Linked DNA regions of Schizosaccharomyces pombe. The protein of the gene in region 1 purifies or fractionates together with the protein of each later gene. This does not show direct contact. Each region holds a gene or a part of one and is shown on either strand. Other genes may lie near its edges. The genes, in order: pfh1, mrm202, mcm7 and irc3.

Evidence for each region.
Region 2: the proteins of pfh1 (region 1) and mrm202 purify together in Schizosaccharomyces pombe (affinity purification with mass spectrometry, with the first as the bait; one study listed by BioGRID). This does not show direct contact.
Region 3: the proteins of pfh1 (region 1) and mcm7 purify together in Schizosaccharomyces pombe (affinity purification with mass spectrometry, with the first as the bait; one study listed by BioGRID). This does not show direct contact.
Region 4: the proteins of pfh1 (region 1) and irc3 purify together in Schizosaccharomyces pombe (affinity purification with mass spectrometry, with the first as the bait; one study listed by BioGRID). This does not show direct contact.

The regions. Positions count from the first base shown.
Region 1 is NC_003423.3:3,567,089-3,572,527, reverse strand, and holds pfh1 (DNA repair and recombination protein), read left to right. Parts: upstream 1-2,051; 5' UTR 2,052-2,339; coding exon 2,340-3,594; exon of another isoform or gene 3,595-3,635; coding exon 3,636-4,798; 3' UTR 4,799-4,935; downstream 4,936-5,439. Other genes in the region: sphingosine hydroxylase/sphingolipid delta-4 desaturase Sur2, read left to right, coding at 267-1,148; cem1 (3-oxoacyl-[acyl-carrier-protein]-synthase condensing enzyme), read left to right, coding at 5,341-5,439.
Region 2 is NC_003424.3:1,279,967-1,284,605, reverse strand, and holds mrm202 (2' O-ribose methyltransferase Mrm2-like protein), read left to right. Parts: upstream 1-1,783; 5' UTR 1,784-2,070; coding exon 2,071-2,265; exon of another isoform or gene 2,266-2,438; coding exon 2,439-2,489; exon of another isoform or gene 2,490-2,532; coding exon 2,533-3,192; 3' UTR 3,193-3,247; coding exon of another isoform or gene 3,248-3,499; 3' UTR 3,500-3,545; coding exon of another isoform or gene 3,546-3,905; 3' UTR 3,906-4,111; downstream 4,112-4,639. Other genes in the region: mrx21 (coenzyme A/ diphosphate transporter), read left to right, coding at 1-75; oligosaccharyltransferase gamma subunit Ost3, read right to left, coding at 276-454, 501-847, 964-1,043, 1,102-1,219, 1,271-1,476; SPOM_SPAPB17E12.09 (uncharacterized protein), read right to left, coding at 3,248-3,499, 3,546-3,905; eos1 (N-glycosylation protein), read right to left, coding at 4,281-4,639.
Region 3 is NC_003423.3:3,717,048-3,721,689, reverse strand, and holds mcm7 (MCM complex subunit Mcm7), read left to right. Parts: upstream 1-1,650; 5' UTR 1,651-1,769; coding exon 1,770-4,052; 3' UTR 4,053-4,113; downstream 4,114-4,642. Other genes in the region: nucleolar protein Dnt1, read left to right, coding at 4,639-4,642. UniProt on the Schizosaccharomyces pombe protein: Acts as a component of the MCM2-7 complex (MCM complex) which is the replicative helicase essential for 'once per cell cycle' DNA replication initiation and elongation in eukaryotic cells.
Region 4 is NC_003423.3:3,366,660-3,371,270, reverse strand, and holds irc3 (ATP-dependent DNA helicase Irc3), read left to right. Parts: upstream 1-2,044; 5' UTR 2,045-2,050; coding exon 2,051-2,230; exon of another isoform or gene 2,231-2,274; coding exon 2,275-2,406; exon of another isoform or gene 2,407-2,463; coding exon 2,464-2,756; exon of another isoform or gene 2,757-2,795; coding exon 2,796-2,825; exon of another isoform or gene 2,826-2,873; coding exon 2,874-3,025; exon of another isoform or gene 3,026-3,066; coding exon 3,067-4,100; downstream 4,101-4,611. Other genes in the region: RNA polymerase I transcription factor subunit Rrn6, read left to right, coding at 1-1,693; pus4 (tRNA pseudouridine synthase), read right to left, coding at 4,255-4,611.

The DNA.
Region 1 (5,439 bases):
AATAAAGAGGTTTGTTTCGTTTAAATATCCTTTTTATTACTTGTTGTTTTAAAAGGTTCCTTATTGGTTTCATCGTTTTTCAATTGTTTGTATAAATCACATTTCTTGCCGTTTGTGATTTGTATATATTGTACCAACTGTTTTCTTTCTTCAGTCTAGACACATAGATATATATTCGCATATATATAACTAATCAGCTTCTCTCTTTTCTTACACTTTCACTTAACTTTTTGCTATATTTTCGAATTTGAATTTTTCTTGCCACTATGGTTACCACCGTTGAAATGTTAACTACCTGGAACCCAGTGACCGTTTCCTTGGTTTCTCCTGTCATCATTTACTGGGTTGCTTCTGCTTTCTTCGGATTTTTGCATTACATTGAATTACCTGTCTTTGAGAAGTATCGCATTCATCCTCCGGAGGAGATAGCCAGACGCAACCGTGTTCCTCAGATGGCTGTTGTTAAAGCCGTGCTTTTCCAACAACTTTGCGAAGTCGTCGTTGGAATCGCATTGGCCATGTTCGAGGGCTATCCTGAACCCATTGACGAGGCTAAGCAAATGTTACGCTACGAGGCTTTCTTCAGCAAGAATTTGCCTGCTTTGTTACAAGTTGCTCCCTTTGCCCCTAAATTGGCTTATAACTTTATTGTTCCCGCATTCCAATACTTCTTTGCTTTCTTCATCATTGACAGCTGGCAATACTTCTGGCACCGTTACCTCCACTACAACAAGAAGCTCTACAACATGATTCATGCCCATCACCATCGTCTCCAAGTTCCCTATGCTATGGGTGCCCTTTACAACCATCCCTTTGAAGGTTTGATTTTGGACACTTTTGGCGCTGGTGTTGCTTATCTCGCCGCCGGTCTTTCTCCTCAACAAGCTGTTATTTTCTTCACCCTTTCTACCTTGAAGACTGTTGATGATCACTGTGGATACGTATTCCCTTATGACCCTCTTCAAATGTTCTTTGCCAATAATGCTCGTTACCATGACCTTCATCACCAACCTTACGGTTTCCAAAAGAACTTTAGCCAGCCCTTCTTTACCTTCTGGGACCACGTTTTGGGAACTTACATGCCTCCCAAGTCTGAAACTCCTTACGAGAAAAAGCAAAAGGCTAAGAATGCAAAGAAGGTTAACTAGAAATTACAAAAGTACATGTGCTCTGTGATATTTGCATTTTTTGAATCTTTCTTATCCTTAGTACTTCTGCTGAATCCAATATACTGTTTTTTTTATATTGAGTTATAAATGTTTACTATTAATTTTTTCTCATTCTTTCTAGTTTCTTTGTTTGCTATTTTCATTTTTTTTGAAATTTTATTAATCTAATTGTTCTTCCTTTTAAATTTGTCGGTAGTACAAATCGATTGGCAATCCTTACTGTTGAAGTTATCCCTCCTATGACTCTAGGTATTTGTGATAACCGTAACCTTGTATTTTTATGTTATTTTCCACTTCTAAAGTCTCTTTAAAACGGGATGTTTGACACGGACTGCTGAAGAACACGATACTTACCTAAAGATGCATGTTTTTGTGTATCTTTACCAAAGTTGGTTGGTCAACGAATTTAAATCGTTTGTCGCTCATTATTGAATTTTCGACTTAGTATTGATTGTTTTAGTCTACATACAGTATATAATTTATTAATTGATAGCATTTATTATTTACAGACTTCCGAGGATATGGTATCGTAGACGCGTTTTATCAAATATTATAAAATTAATAACTTACTGTAAACACGGGTTAATATTTGCTTCGATTGTAACATATTATAACAAAAGTCAATTTATTTGCATTGCATTGCATAGGCCCCGAAAGCAAATTATGCAAGTTATACTTAAGGAACGACTAATGTAAAAAGGACTTTATGATAATTACAGTATTGAATGATAAAAAATTTGTGCAAAAGTTGTGAAGTAAAAAACACGTGCCTGGTGGTGACAGACGTGACGCGTCTTGACATACGCGCTTTCATTTGTCTCGTCCACTACCACCGTAAATTTGATTTTTATTAGTATAGCGCTTTCATTTCTGTACCTCCTTGTCAACAGCCGTTTCCTCGACATTGACAAATTTCTTCAACCGGTATCCCAATTAATACAATCAACAAAGGGATACTTCCAACTCTTATGTGCTTGGACCGCTTATCATAGGTGTTAGGTCGAGGTCGCATAAGTCAGTAGCAGATTGTTGTTTAAATTCAAACTGAAATTGTTTTCTTGTTGCTTTTCTTCGATCAAACAATTTTGGGTGATCTATTTCGTTTACGGTTTCTTTTTTTAGACAACCTGCGTACAGATCGCCTTCCAGTTTCTTGAAGTAATTCGATGAATGTTTTCGTGCCAATCTCTTTATAAATTTAGTCACTCTTTTAGGAAACGTATCCCCGTCATGTTTCAAAGAGCTCAGCAGAAAAGCAGCTTGCTTCATACACAAAACGAGTCATCGCATCAACCCTCCTTGAACAAATTGGGCGGTTTTTCGTCCGCTTCTTTAAACTTCAATTCCTCTCGCTCCTCTACTAATGATGATCAGCAAACATTTTCTAGCCAGTCTGATAACCTTCCGTCATCTCCAATAACCCTACCAGCCAAAAGAGGTCGTTCTGCTGCTAGCTTAAAACAACTTGATAACACCGTGGGATTCGATGTTTCGAAACCCTCACTGCCCGTTTTTGAAAATTCTGGCTTGGGTAGTAAATACTCCACTGAAATAGCGAATGGCGTCTATATTGATGAAAATGACTTTGATGATGATCTACTTTTAGAAAACGATATTGACCAAAAACCAATTCCTTGGTCTTCATCCCCTATCGAGCATACTAAGTTAACTAAATCAATGCTCTCGAGCGAAAAGCGGTCAAAAAATCATCTCTCAAAAATTTACGAAGACCATACTTCTGAAAAAGGCGCAAGTAGCGTAATATCTAGTAATATTACGAGGCAGGGAATAAAACGCTCACGAACCCTTCCTTGGGCAGTGGATCCTTACAGATATGGAGATCCTGATCCTAAAAGAACCAGCACTTCAGCTGATATCAGTCAACACACTGTATCTAATGATTCTTCAAATAAGCTTAGCAATGGACGAAGCAGTTCTTTGGATAGTCTGGCTAAAAAACGCATGAGTAAATCTAAGTCTACCCCACAGATATCTAAAAAATTTTCTGTTCCTTTAAACTCTGCTTCCAAATCGCCAATAGGATCTTCTTTGTTTAAGACAAGTGATTCTCGTAAAAAATCTGTCCCTAGCATATTCCTTTCCGATGAGCAAAAAAGAATTTTAGACATGGTTGTTGAGCAACAACACAGTATATTTTTTACGGGCTCTGCTGGAACAGGTAAATCTGTTCTCCTCCGAAAAATAATTGAAGTCCTAAAATCTAAATATAGAAAGCAATCTGACAGAGTTGCTGTTACCGCTTCTACAGGCTTGGCAGCCTGTAATATCGGCGGTGTAACACTTCACTCCTTTGCTGGGGTAGGCCTTGCTCGTGAATCTGTCGACCTCCTGGTATCTAAAATAAAGAAAAATAAGAAGTGTGTTAATCGTTGGTTGCGCACCAGAGTTTTGATCATTGATGAAGGTAAACAATTTAAGTGAGTTTATATTTACTAATAACTATAGTTTCTATGGTCGATGCTGAATTAATGGACAAGTTAGAAGAGGTTGCGCGTGTTATTCGCAAAGATAGTAAGCCATTTGGTGGAATTCAGTTGGTTTTAACTGGGGATTTTTTTCAGTTACCTCCTGTTCCAGAAAATGGGAAAGAATCGAAATTCTGTTTCGAATCTCAGACATGGAAAAGCGCACTTGATTTTACAATAGGATTGACTCACGTTTTTCGGCAAAAGGATGAGGAATTTGTCAAAATGCTTAATGAATTGCGCCTCGGGAAATTATCTGATGAATCGGTTAGAAAATTCAAAGTTCTTAATAGAACGATTGAATATGAAGATGGGCTTCTTCCGACAGAGTTATTTCCCACACGTTATGAGGTTGAGCGTTCGAACGATATGCGTATGCAACAAATTAATCAAAATCCTGTCACGTTTACCGCTATTGACTCGGGTACTGTTCGAGATAAAGAATTTCGTGACCGATTACTGCAAGGGTGCATGGCTCCTGCCACTTTAGTGTTAAAGGTAAATGCTCAGGTAATGCTTATAAAGAATATAGATGATCAGTTAGTAAATGGATCTCTTGGAAAAGTTATAGGTTTCATAGATGATGAGACCTATCAAATGGAAAAAAAGGATGCTGAAATGCAGGGAAGAAATGCTTTTGAATATGATAGTTTAGACATTTCACCCTTTGATCTTCCAGACGTTAAGCAAAAGAAATATAAATTGATTGCAATGCGTAAAGCTTCATCCACGGCAATAAAATGGCCATTAGTTCGTTTTAAACTTCCAAATGGAGGTGAACGTACAATTGTTGTACAACGGGAAACTTGGAATATTGAGCTTCCCAATGGTGAGGTTCAAGCTTCTAGAAGCCAAATTCCTCTTATTTTGGCTTATGCGATATCTATTCACAAGGCACAAGGACAGACTTTGGATCGAGTCAAGGTTGATTTGGGTCGTGTTTTTGAGAAAGGGCAAGCGTATGTTGCCTTATCTCGTGCAACTACTCAAGAAGGTCTCCAGGTTCTTAATTTTTCGCCTGCGAAGGTGATGGCACACCCCAAAGTCGTGCAATTCTATAAACAACTGGCTTCTGTTAATGGTTTGCCGATACGTAATGAAAACAAGGCTCCAGTTCAAATGAGGGGAGTCAAAAATAAGTAAAAATCAATTTTTACGAGTTTACCATGTACTAAAGATTTATTCATAACGGCCTGAATATATATGGTTGAAGTGTACAGTGATTTTAGACTAATTAGGTAATTTTATTCATAGAAATAATTTTAATAATATATTCATATATTTAATTTCTTCTTTGTTTATTAAATTTGAGCTTTACATTTATTATTATTTTTCCTATGGTGCTAATTCATTTCTATAACAGCGGTATTCCTTGAGGATGTTTAATTATGTACAGGAAGTAATTGTTACAAGGCCACCTTCTAGTAATCTTTAACTATCGCATAAACTGTAATTAAACGAACAGGGTGCACCTCGCTTCAATCAGTCTCTTAACTTTAATAGCCAACACACCTTGACCATGCATAAAAACTGAACATTTAATCCACTTTCAATCAGAACTTTGAAATCGATAACATAAACACAGTTTTGATCGATTTATATACTGTTAAATTCTCGCCTCAAATACCCTGTCGAAAGAAACGACAGATAATCTATTATTATTTCCACAAAGTAATGCTAGAAAAATGAAACGTGTGGTAATAACTGGACTGGGGGCCGTAACCCCTCTAGGCAATGGAGTTAAAACCAATTGGCGAAATCTAATTCAAGGAAAATCAGGTATC
Region 2 (4,639 bases), on another chromosome or scaffold:
TTGAAAATTATCCCTGTTATGAGTATTACATGGTATACATATGAAACTGTTAGTAAAATGCTTCACGATCTTTAAATTAAGAGTCGTCTTGTCAATTTCAAAATGATGCTACCCAACATACCCCTACTATTGAAATATACTACAGATATCATATTAGAAATTTTTGTAAATTAATAATGATTTTATGCATAAGAACCCGAACTTTCCCGGATACAACATAGTCAAAGAATGAATAGCAGTAGGCTCAAGCAGCATTCATTAAGTCATACATTTCTTTAAATTAGAAGCTTAAATGGATACATACTAACTTTCCTCTTAAAAATATCAACAAGGAAACTATAACCAATCCAAAGGAATGCCAACCATATTATAACGAACAAAGTTTGGCGTTTGGCTCCTTCGACTTTAGGAGCAACGATTGCAAGGAAGATGGAAGACATGGTTAAAGCGGTATCTAAAAATGTTAGAGAATCACTTTAAAATTTTAACGACAAACTTACACAATAGGGAAACAACTTGAACTTCAGCACCAAATTGAAATTGTTGAGAACCAGCAAGCCAAAGGTTTTCACCGTGTTCACCACGTTGACTATAAGGACTGAAACGAATGCGAGTAAACATGTAACCACTACTTAAAGTAATAACGGTGATAATGGTTAAGGCGGCCCAAACTTTGCGACTTGTAAAGATTTTGACAATAATTTTACGGGTAAAGAATAAAGCAGCTCCAACGATAATATAGGAAAGAAAAGCACCAACCCGTTTGGCTTGATCTTGCTTATATACAATATCGGCGATTTTCCCAGTATGCTTTTCTACAATAGCAGCAAGATGAGAAGCAGTGACACTAAGTAAGTTAGTTTTTTTATTTCTTCAAAAAAACTAAAAATAGTACGGCGAATTACTAAAAAAAAGTATTCGCAAACAAACAATTTCGGAGGAAAGATGAGTGTTTGGACTTACCCATGGCTTAAGTCTACGTGGATAGCTTGAATAGATTTTGGTTTAAAAATCCAAAAATTAGGGACGCTTTCAATGGAAAACTATGAGTACAATTAGTATTGATAAAGTTGGGAAAATTTACAAGACTGCATCACATACGTCCTGAAAAAGATTCTTATTCTTTCCAAAATCAGCGTAGGTAAAACGTATTCCACTGTCAAGACCATATTTTAACTTGTACGAATTAGCAAGCGCTTTAAATTCCGGTTCAATGAGACTAACAACGTTAGAAAATAAATCAACTTAATATAATATTTTCTGAGCTTACCGACAAACATCACAGTTCATGGTAGAGGAATCGGCTGAGAAAAGAGCTACTGTGGTGAAATCTTGTTTTCCATTTACGATTCGATGAAACAATCTGCCGGTAATTTGAATAACTCCATCAGCATCCGTTTTTGAATTTAAATCTAATTTTGCAAAGCATGTAATTACAAAGAGGGAGAAAAACGAGAGGATTTTGAAGAAATTCATCTTGCCTTCAATAGTTTGTCCTTGGCAGCCTCATTTCTGCTTAATGGCTGCCCCCGCTAAGCAAACCGTCGATGCGCAGAGATTCGTTATATTTGTTACCTATGAAGTTGCAATTCATTAAACAAACTTAAGAGATTTCAAAGAATAAACAGAAAGCTTTTGATTTCTTGGGATTAGTTAAATAAATTTTCTTTCTATTAAAGGTTTAATAATATAAGTTATTATCATTAGCTTTAGAGTATATTATAATTTTTTACTTCCAGGGACTAATTACTTTATAGTTTGTAAATATATTTTGTTTATATTTGCCATTTACTCCAAATATACCTGCAGTCGATCCATAATAATAGTTTATAATTCTTGCCAGACATTTAATATTTTCGTATATATTTACGTTGTTCCGCAACCATAGTCTCCTCGATCAAAAAGCATTTCTTTACTAACAAACTCACCTGGTCAACAATTTTTTATACCTTTTTTTTCCTAATTTATCAAAATCTCCTAGTCAAGTTTTTACATTGCCCATGAATTATTATATGTTGATATTTACTATCAGTGACTATTCATGTTAGATAATGCTTTCCACAAAATAATATGTCTATGAGAATTTGGAGTAGAAGTTCCTCTGCTTATTCGGCCATAGCCAGAAGTTCTTCTTGGTTTAACAATTCTCTCTTTTCAAGTTGTTTATTACGTTTTTATTCCAACCCTCCTAAAAAGACAAAAAAGAATACTTTAATATCTCTGAGAAAGTCAGCTGAGACAGCAAATGAAAAATTCATTGAGAAAGTAAGTTCAATTGTTAAAAGGGTCCCGTCGAAATGTCAACAGACGTCCGTTGCAAGGTATTCTTAGGAGCATACTGCATCTAAGAAACTGTCGTACATATTCCGTATATCTGCTGAACTTTTCAAGGTTCAATTAATATTTTTCTATGGAGTTGTTTATTGCTAACTATTAAGATAAACAAAGAGCATCAGCTTTTCAAACCTGGTCAGATTGTTGTTGATTTGGTAGGTAAATGGTCAAATTTTTATACGCAACTAATCAATTTAGGGTTGTGCACCTGGAATATGGAGTACAATAGCTGCTCGACATGTTGGTTTGTTTGGTAGAGTTATTGCATGTGATATAATTCCTTGTAGGCTCCCTGAAAACTCCAGTATGATTCAAGGTAATATACTAAGTATGGAAATTCAGCTTGAAATAGCTAAGGCAGCCATTCGTAGTCGAAACTCTTTTTTTCGAAATCAACAAGATCATAATTCTGCTTCTATTCCCTACTTGCAGTCAGTCTTTGAAGAAGAAAGAGATACAAAAGAGAAAGCCAAAATTGAAGATTTGTCAGCAGATGTTATAATGAGTGATTTAGGTCCCCCATTTCCAATGGTTCAGGGATTCGAATTTTGGATTTCAAAATTACCTTATTTAGCTATGCAAACTAATGAGCATTTAGCAGTTAAGGACGAGTTGGATTCGCTTTATCTTGCCCAGGCAGCTTTATTATTTGCCATAAAAGCACTGAAACCAGATGGAATTTTCCTTTGTAAAGTATTGGAAAGTTCACATTTACGAAGTTTTGCTGAGGATTTATCTATGTGCTTTAAATGTGTAAAAAAAATTCAATTTAAAACTAAAATTAAAGATGAGCTATATGCAGTTTATTTTTGTTCCGGGAAGCAGCTGTCATGTCATTCTAAGCTTTTGAACATTTAAAGGTTTTAGTACATAGTTTGTTGATAAGAGGAACATTCTTTCCCTTTTCCTGAACTTATTTGTCGTGGATTTTTGTGTTATTCTCATCTAGAGAAAACAGATTTTCGAGCGAAGCGTTGTTCATTGCTTTGTCTATGATTTTTGTCATGTACAATTGCATTTCTTTCATGGAGTGCTTTAAATCATTTAACTCTTCTTCTAATTTTAGAATTTTAGACTTATGGTTGCCGGAAATTTCTCTAAGTAATTCCTTCTCTGTTTGCTTATATTCCTCTTTTAACCTTGGATCATCGGTGTCCGAGACGGCCTAATGAGAGCAGTCAGACCTTGCATTATACTAAATATAATCATACCATTTGAAGTACAGCTGCTTGAAGATTTTTATTGCTGTTACTGAGTCTTTCAATTTCTTTTATATAGCCCTCAATTTTTCTATTACAGGGATTTTGGAAAGTATTATTCACCCCAACAGACCTTTTGGAGTATGTCCTTAAACCTGGATCAATGTTTTCGTCAACAATTTTGAAATTTTGCAACTTTTCATAATAATCTACATCTTCAATATTTAAATCTTTAACGTTTTCTGTTTCAATATTATAGAGGTTTTGGTTTAAGGGGTCGGATTGAGAATCCAAATAACTATCCCTATTGGGATGAATGCTTGAAGATAAGTTTATTATTTCCGTATTTTCCTTTAAAAAGCGGTCTTGCATTTTTAAAATGAAGTTTGTTGAGGATACGTTATGTTTACTCTATGTGACAAATGTAAACAACTTAAACGGAACATTCGAAAAATCATAAGGATCTTCGTGAACCTGTCAAGTAATTCAGAAGATAAACTATATTTTATCAAAAAATAACAATCAAATTATATTTCATGTAAGTATATCCCATATGCAAAGAATTAAAAGAACAGAACAACACAATTGTCAAAAAGTATTCTAGCAAACTTAATGACTAATGAAAATTTACAAACAGATTAAAAAAAGAATAATTAACGTTAAATAATTTTGTAGAGACTGTCAATGGTCAACTGAAGGCAACATTTCGTGTTAGTCCAAATAGTCCCAATTCATCCAAACAATGACTTACGCAGACACTAAAAAAGAATCCGGGTATTTGTAAAGTTGCCAAATAAGCATAACCATCGTAAAAAAACTTGCAATACCCACTGGCACGACAGCAAAAACGGTGATCTCTAAAAAATCGAGATTGTGTCGATAATTGGAAGATGAACTGGATGAGGAACGAAAAGGAAGTGTTCTAATTATGGGAGAGGTGATCCAATCTTGAACTATGTAGGCTGCAGTCTGGAAACAAGAGATAGCAATCCAGGCTGGAAGTAAATAAGCGTTGTCGCCATGTGTAATAAAACTAACGCTTAATGATAGGAATGAAAAATTTATCACGTTGAGTGAAAAGAGCCTTATAATGGTAGGTCCAATTG
Region 3 (4,642 bases), 150 kb from region 1:
AAAAGTTTTCTTCCACCGCGATTATCTCTTGCGATGTGGCTTCCCAAGATGTGTTGTGGTTAATGGCAAAACTTTCAAAGGTAGGTTATCCAATGTAGTGCACAGTATTGTAGTATATTCAACACCACCGTTTTTTTTGTGGATGTTAATTTGTCGCACTTTGGGTATGATAACACAATGAATAAGAGTGAAGGCAAAATAGACAAAATGCTGCCTTATTTTACAGAGTGGAAAATTGCAGTTAAACTAAGTCAAAGGCTGATGGAGATGAATAACGTTGAAAAAAAACAATGTACTAATTAATATTTGGAGACAAACGCAACGAGTAAAAAAAATGAAATAAATTCGAAGACAATCTCAAATTAAATGGGAAAAGCAAGGGCTTACTTCCTTTCCCTTCTGGTGTGTTATAATAACGGTTTCTTAAAGCAGGAAATTGTAGCTAGTTAATAGAAAAATGTGATAGCTTAAATCGAAGAATTCGATGCTAAGCGTGGAGTCGAATAAATTCAATTATTTAGGCTCAAATAATTGAAAAAATAGAAATGAATTTATTACTTTATGTAATAAATAAATTATTAAATTTCTCACTTTTTGTTATAATTTAATAAAGTAGTTTTCAGTGTAATACTTAAGACGCGTCAGGGTACCTCAATTTATGTTGTAGATGAAACGCAATGATATCAGCCTAGTAGTACGATATGATGTTAGAAATAAATATCTCTTCACAATCTCCTTTTCATCCGAGATGTAGAGCGCTTTATAACTGCTCAAATATTACAAATCACGAAACTTCTAATGCGACGCGACCGTACATAAAGACATTGCTTAATTAAAAAAAGATAAGCGCGACAGAGACCTAGCCACATACTGTGAATAATTTTAATACCTTGATCCTTTCGTAAAAAAAAAAAGAAATACTTATATTCGTCTATTGTAAACAGAAAATAAATAAGCATTCCAATAGCACGTTTCTATTGCGTGTTGTGCTTTTAGGTACAGTTTACAATGTGGTATAAAACAATAAAGAATTTTCTATATTCATTCTTCACTGATGTTTGAAATAACCGAACAAAAAATAAAAAGTTCCCTACTCGAAGTTTTTATATTGTTGATATCGCATTTCTTTTGAGAATTTCCCTGCTAACTTACTTCATAAGTTTTCAAAAAAATTTTTAAAAATAAAAGTGAAATAAATTTTAGGCAGTAGTCTAAATAACTCTCATGTTTAGAAATACAAAACGTGTAGAAGAAAAATAGGAAAAATTATGGATAGCTAAAATAACAATCGATTGAAGCAATGAAAACAATTAGACATACATTTATGAAAATAAAATGACCAATTTATTGTCTGGCAAAATGATTATTATTAATTTAAAACAAATAAACTGTTTATTTATACATAGTGAATACTCTCCAAAAAAAATTTCTAACAGTACTACATAGTGGCTTTTAAAATCAAACTGAATGTTTACTTTTGCTGCGAGAGTAATAAATTAAAAAGGAAATATGTAGAGAATCAAAAAAATTATACACTGCAATTTCTTTAGAGTCAATGACAATTTGTATATGCCCTAAGTTACAATATTTACATTTTTGTTACCTTACGAGTTCGCGTTGATTCATACTACCAACTAACTAAAACAACCTAAAGAAGAACCTTTCTTGGTATCTTACCCTTACTTAATACCCTTGCTTTCTTTTTGAACCTTTATATTTTTTGCTAATTCAGCAGAAAAGTTTTGGGATACTTTTTTGGTTTGAAAAGCATGGCACTTCCCACCATAGATTTAAAAATCCCAGAGTATGAAGAATGTCAACATAAAATTACGGATTTTCTATCCCACTTCAAGCAGGAACAGGTTCAAGATGGACAACAAAATCAGGATATTTCGATGTCGGATGCAGGTGATGAGCCTTTTTTAAAATCAAAGTATATGGATATACTACAAAAAATCTCCAATCGAGAGTCAAATGTTATTAATGTTGATTTGAATGATTTGTACGAGTTCGATCCAAGTGATACTCAGCTTTTGCATAATATTGAATCTAATGCTAAACGGTTTGTTGAACTTTTTTCGCAGTGCGCAGATGCGTTGATGCCTCCTCCTACTGTGGAAATTAATTATCGCAACGAAGTACTTGATGTAATTATGCAGCAACGTGTTCAAAGGAATGAAAATATAGACCCTGAGCATAAAGGATTTCCTCCTGAATTAACCCGAGGTTATGACTTATACTTTCGACCAGTAACTCGCAACAAAAAACCATTCAGCGTTCGTGATTTAAGAGGCGAAAACTTGGGATCTCTTTTGACTGTCCGTGGTATAGTTACTCGTACAAGTGATGTTAAGCCTAGCTTAACTGTAAATGCTTATACATGTGATCGATGTGGGTATGAAGTGTTTCAAGAAATCCGTCAGAAGACATTCCTTCCAATGTCTGAATGTCCTTCGGATGAATGTAAAAAGAATGATGCAAAAGGTCAGCTTTTCATGAGCACAAGAGCCAGTAAATTTCTTCCTTTTCAGGAAGTAAAAATACAAGAATTAACGAACCAAGTACCTATTGGCCATATCCCTAGATCATTAACCGTCCACTTATATGGTGCTATCACTCGCTCTGTAAATCCTGGCGATATCGTTGATATTTCTGGTATATTTTTGCCGACTCCGTATACTGGTTTTCGAGCAATGCGCGCCGGGCTCTTAACCGATACTTACTTAGAATGCCATTATGTTTCACAAATCATTAAAAATTACACAAATATTGAAAAAACTCCTCAATCGGAGGCTGCTATCGCTGAATTAAATCAAGGAGGCAATGTGTACGAAAAACTGGCCAAGTCCATTGCTCCCGAGATATATGGACATGAAGATGTTAAAAAAGCTTTACTTCTGTTGCTTGTCGGAGGTGTTACTAAAGAGTTAGGGGATGGAATGAGAATTCGTGGTGACATAAATATTTGTTTAACTGGTGATCCTGGTGTCGCAAAATCTCAATTATTAAAGTATATTTCGAAGGTTGCCCCGAGAGGAGTATACACCACAGGTCGTGGATCTTCAGGTGTTGGTTTAACTGCTGCTGTAATGCGTGATCCAGTGACGGATGAAATGGTTTTAGAGGGAGGTGCCTTAGTACTTGCTGACAACGGTATTTGCTGCATTGACGAATTTGATAAGATGGATGAAAGTGACCGTACAGCAATTCATGAAGTAATGGAACAGCAAACTATTTCAATTTCAAAGGCAGGAATCACTACGACTTTAAATGCTCGAACAAGTATTTTGGCCGCTGCGAACCCCTTATATGGACGATATAATCCGAAAGTGGCACCAATCCACAATATAAATCTTCCAGCTGCACTGCTTTCCCGGTTTGATATTTTATTTTTAATTTTAGATACTCCTTCTCGTGAAACAGACGAGCATTTGGCACAACACGTAACATATGTTCACATGCATAACGAACAACCTAAAATGGACTTTGAACCATTAGATCCAAACATGATTAGGCATTATATTTCTTCTGCTAGACAATATCGCCCAGTCGTACCAAAGGATGTATGCGACTATGTTACTGGTGCTTATGTTCAACTTCGACAAAACCAAAAGCGTGATGAAGCCAATGAGCGTCAATTCGCTCACACTACTCCACGTACACTTCTCGCTATTTTGCGAATGGGACAAGCATTAGCTCGTTTGCGTTTCAGTAATAGAGTGGAGATTGGCGATGTTGATGAAGCTTTGAGATTAATGTCTGTTTCAAAGTCATCACTATACGATGATTTGGATCCTAGTTCTCACGATACTACTATTACCTCGAAAATATATAAAATTATTCGAGACATGCTTAATAGCATACCAGATGTTGAAGGCAATGAACGCTCACTTACACTACGTGCTATTCGTGAACGCGTACTTGCTAAGGGTTTTACTGAAGATCATTTAATAAATACAATACAGGAATATACAGACCTTGGTGTTCTTTTAACTACAAACAATGGTCAAACAATAATGTTCCTCGATCCGGATTTACATATGGAGAATTAACAATTTACTAATAGATAACTCCTATCATTTAATTTTTCTGCCAATTAATTGCTTTAAGCTAATTTACAACCTATAGAAATTATTCTGAGACGTCAAACTACTTTTCTGTTGAATATTCTTTAATTCTGACTAATACATCTGTCGTTCTTTTAATCTATGATAGTTTATTTACTTGTATTCAAATGTTAATTCACGCAATTGAAAGGAAGATATATTAAGCCAATATGTTTCGTTAGATTTGGAAGGACCATAAAACCTTAAGATACGTGTCAATATGCTCGAGTCGTAGGAATGAGTAATGAGTTTTTATTTCTTGACATTTAGCATTATTTTACACCTTTAACTTGTTCATCACTGCTGTCCCACCCTTCCTGCTGTCATGCCGAGTAAATTGCGAATAGAACTTTACGCACTTCCTTAGAGCAACCAACTTTGGATACCCATTGGTGTCAAGAAATGGGCATTCCATTTTAAATAACTTACTTTGTTTTAACGTCTTTTTAATACTGATTAATTCCATTATAACTAGTTTGCCGGATCCACTTCTCCGTAAGAATCAAATAAAGAAATTTGCTGAATATTCGAAATGA
Region 4 (4,611 bases), 200 kb from region 1:
AGATGATGGGTACAGGGAATGCTTCGGTAGTTCTTTCAAAGAGTCTTTGCAACAAGCATTATGTTCTGCACCAACAAGTTCCATTGCTTATCACGAAGAAGAAATAAATCCCGATAATACAATATATAGAGCTAAATGGGAAGAGTATTTTGGCGGTGTCATTTTGCATAATGCTTTTTTTATTCTTCATGTGTCTCTTGGGGAGGTACCTGATTTCCATCTTTTATTCCACTGCAGTTCAGATGTTAGGATTCTACAAGTGGTAAATGAATCTATGCCTATTAAATCTGAGTTTTTCATTTTAACTACCGAGTCCGTCTTGTGGATGGATATTCAACATCCTCAGAAGCCGCTACTTGAATGGAAACATAATAGAAAATTAGATCCTACTTTGAAAATTACGGTTACCGCTACTTTTTCTCAAAACATCTATGTCTCTGTTTATTCTCAAATGAATGGTGTTGTCCAACAAATTCATTTTTCAAAAGACAGAGCTCTACCTGTATCAGGTAGTCATCCATTTCTATTATTAAATGAGGTTCAGGTTCCCATAAGATCCCTCATTATACAACCTTGTTATTTTTTTGAGTCATCTGAATTTGACAGACAAGGTCCTTTTGATTCACCTTTTTGGTCTGCAATAATTGATAAGGCTGACGGATCTCTTTCCTTACATATTCTTTGCGAAAAAAGTTCTCTTAAAATATATAATTTAGAGGAGCTTACTGGTTCTAGCCAAGTTGCTATGAAATTTAAAACTATCACCCCTTCTGTAAACACTAGTGAAGATGATTCGGCAAATGATCAAGAAATAATAAGCACTCCGAATTCCGATTTTCAACAATTATCACTGTCACGGTTATACCATGTTTTGTGCTCTAATAGGAACAAAAAGAATACTATCACCCTTGATGAATTCGCTAGCAAAGTTCCGGATTTTGTAGAAGCTTTTGATTCTATCAATCACGATGTTATAATAACTTTGAGTGAGTTATATGACGGATTTCCTTTGAAAGGAACCTTTACTAATGTAGCTGAGATCATAAGTCATTTAGAAGGTACAGAACTATCATTTTATTTTCCTTATATGTTTGGTATTAACTACAACAATGCTTCTTTCTTTTATACTTCCGTGGACTCAATTGCTAGTTTAATACACAGGCGCTGGGAATCTAATACTGATAAGTCTGTCGAAATTCCTTGCTTTCAGTCTTCTCAAAGAAGATCTATAAAAAATGTTATTCACTATTTATTTCTTTCTTCTATAGGAGTCTCCAGGGAAAAAATATTTGATCCATCATTGTCTCGAAAGGAAATCGATTCAACCGACTTGCTTACATTTATCAAACCTTTTTATGATACGGAAGGCCTGGAGCTGAATGAAGATGTTAGAAATATTTTGGAGAATTGGGAGATTGGAAAGATATCTTCAACTTATGTCATTGGTGATAGCGCTGTCGAAACGGAGGATCCATCATCTAGCCAATTTAGTGATTTCTACATTTCACAACAGCAGTCTTCTGTACTTCCCTCAAGCCAAATTGCGACAGTCTTTTCTCAAGAAGATGTTCCTAATTTTTCATCGCTATACTCGGAGAGTTCTAGCCAAACTATCCCAATAATGTCACAAGTCGTTAGTGGCAAATATGGTTCTCGTCCTTCCAAAAAGAAAAAGAAAAGAAGCGGATTTTAAATCCACCCGTATTTATTTATCTGTAAGTGATTTGTTTACAACTTGGGGAATAATTTGCTTGAGTTATTGATACTATACCAATGCTTGGACATAAGGTTGGTAGTAAATTATTTGCATATATTATGAAATTGCTAAAATTTAAAATTTTTTTTTCTATAATGTTTATAGAACTTTCAAATTTTATATCTTAGTTAGCCTTTGTAAGTCAATAAAAGTAAGTAATAATTAATTGTCTGCATGTCATGCTAATTTATGCTCTGACAAATTATTTTAACTAAGCCATTTTATGCCCTTATCCATTGCTGTATTCTATAGTTATAAAATTATTTTTGTGTCAGAGATTATCTTGCCGTAGACATGCTACTAAACGCATGTTGCAAAAAGAATTTGTGGCCAAGAAATGGTTCAACTATATTTAGAAGATTTGCTCTTAAACTTCGTCCTTATCAAGAAGAATGCCTCAGTGCCTGCTTAAACGCTTTTGATGAAGGTAAACGTCGAATTGCTGTTTCATTAGCTACAGGCTCTGGTAAAACGGTATTACTGTTCTACTACTGACTGCAATATTAACACGTCTAAAGGCATTGTTTCCCCACTTTATAAAATATGCACCTACTTTAAGGCCAAACTCTGAGCAATGTCTAATTTTGGTTCACAGAAAGGAGTTAGCTTTACAGGCCCTCAAGCATTGCCGAGAAAGCCTTCCGAATAAGGTACCGTTCTTTTTCCAAATAGATTCCACGCTGTTTCGTTTACTAACTTTGCCATAGTCTATTGAGATTGATATGGGCAATCAGTGTGCATCCGGACTGGCTGATGTTACCGTTGCGTCAGTTTTTTCTTTAAAAAATGAAAGACTACTTAAATATAATCCTCTCAATTTTAAACTTTTAATTTTTGATGAAGTTCACCATATGGCGTCTCCTTCGTACTTACGAATCCTTGAGCATTTTGGCGCAGAATCGGAAAAATCGAAAGTGAATGTGATAGGACTTACTGCGACTCTTTTCAGAGCAGACGGAAAAGGGTTGGCTTGTGGCCTAGATGAGATTGTTTATCACAGGTAATGCTAACAGTAGAACGTTCAAATGCTAATAAATAGACATTTCGTGGACATGATCAAAGATAACTGGTAAGTGTGTCATATTTATAGGTACTCTTCCTAACTCCCAATGTTAAGGCTTGTTGAACCAAAAGTCATAAACATAAAGTGGTCTACAGATCTTGTGTTAGCTGATTCGTCTAGCTTCTTGGACCAAGAGAAGTTAAAAAAGGAGGCACAATCAGAAAAGGCAATATTCGAAATTCCAAGAGCTTGGCTCGAACATGCTAGTAAGCTGAATATAGTTATCTCTATATTAATTTCCTTTTAGGTAACCGCTCATCTACATTGGTGTTTTGCATAAATGTAGAGCATTCATTAAAAGTTTGTAATGCATTTCGAAAATTAGGTATTGATGCCCGAGCTTTGTTTGGGGAAACTAATGATTCGGAACGTGAAACTTTAATCCAAGATTTCCGAAAAAAGAAATTTCCTGTCCTTGTTAATTGCATGGTGTTGACTGAAGGGACCGATATTCCTAATATTGATTGTTTAATGATCGCTCGGCCTACAAGTTCTCCAAATTTACTTACACAGATGATTGGTAGGGGATTGCGATTGCATGAGGGAAAAAGAGATTGTCTAATATTAGATTTTTGTGATTCTTTAAGAAGAGTCAGTCTACATGTTGACCCTACTTTAGCTGGTCTTTCCCCCGATGAAGTTGAAAACTTTTATAATAAATCAAAGAATTCCCTTGCGAACCCTGATTATGATCCTAAAATTTATGGATTACAATCTGTTTTGTGGTACAGCAAATTACGGAAGTTGATAGAAATGATGGATAACATTAAAAACAAAGATAGGAGCATTTTCAATTTATCTACTAATGCTTGGGTTGCTGTCGGTATGGGTCGATATGTCTTGAGCTTTTTACAAAAGGTGTTGATAATTGATACAAATTTTGAAGATGGGACACATAAGATATCTGAATATACGAAAGAGAAATTAGGGACTCGAGTGTATAATCGAAAACGTATTGTATCCGATCGCATACCTTCCTTGAAATTCGCGATAAGGGCAGCGGAAACATACATTTCCAATTTGAAAACACCTCGTTCTCTTATTAGTCGTAAAGCAGTGTGGAGAATGAGACCCGCGTCTGTTAGACAAATAAACTTCTTGAAAAAATCAAATTTAAAACTAGATGAAAAACTCTTGACAGCAGGTGTTGCAGCTGATATGATTACTAAAGTAATTTATGGAGGAAAAGGTCGACAAGTTAGAACAGATAAGCTACAAAGTTATCTGAAACACGACGCAAATTTAAAGCGTATTACTACATTGAAGGAATTAAAGGGTTGATGGTTTCAGTGTTCTTCATAAAAATCGTTTTCTTCACTGTACCAGTGATAATATTTGCTTGGAGTGGAAAAGAAATGTCTATTATATGCTTTTAAAGAAAATATGAATGTCCTTATCTAAAAAGTATATTACTGGTATATATATTAAGACTGCTTCAGCTTGTTTCGTCTCCTTTCAGGTCGATTTTGAACGCTGCTGCGAGTTTTTCCTCCCAGCCTGGAGCTGAAAATTCTGAAAAATCAAAGCAGTTTTCATCGTCTAGTGCAAAAGACCCCTGTTTCAATCTCACAAGATCGACCATGTGTGCTTCACTATTTACTTGTCGGCCCAAATCATGAATTAAAGAGCGAACGTAGAAACCAGAAGAAACCGTCATATCAAGGACTGCAATTGGCCCTATTGCAGGTCGTGATCCTCGCGCTAAATCAGTGACTTCAAACTTTCGTTTTTTAGGGTTTGTGACAGTTTGATCTTTGGCTACATCTGTAACAGAATTGGTAGTGGGACTCTT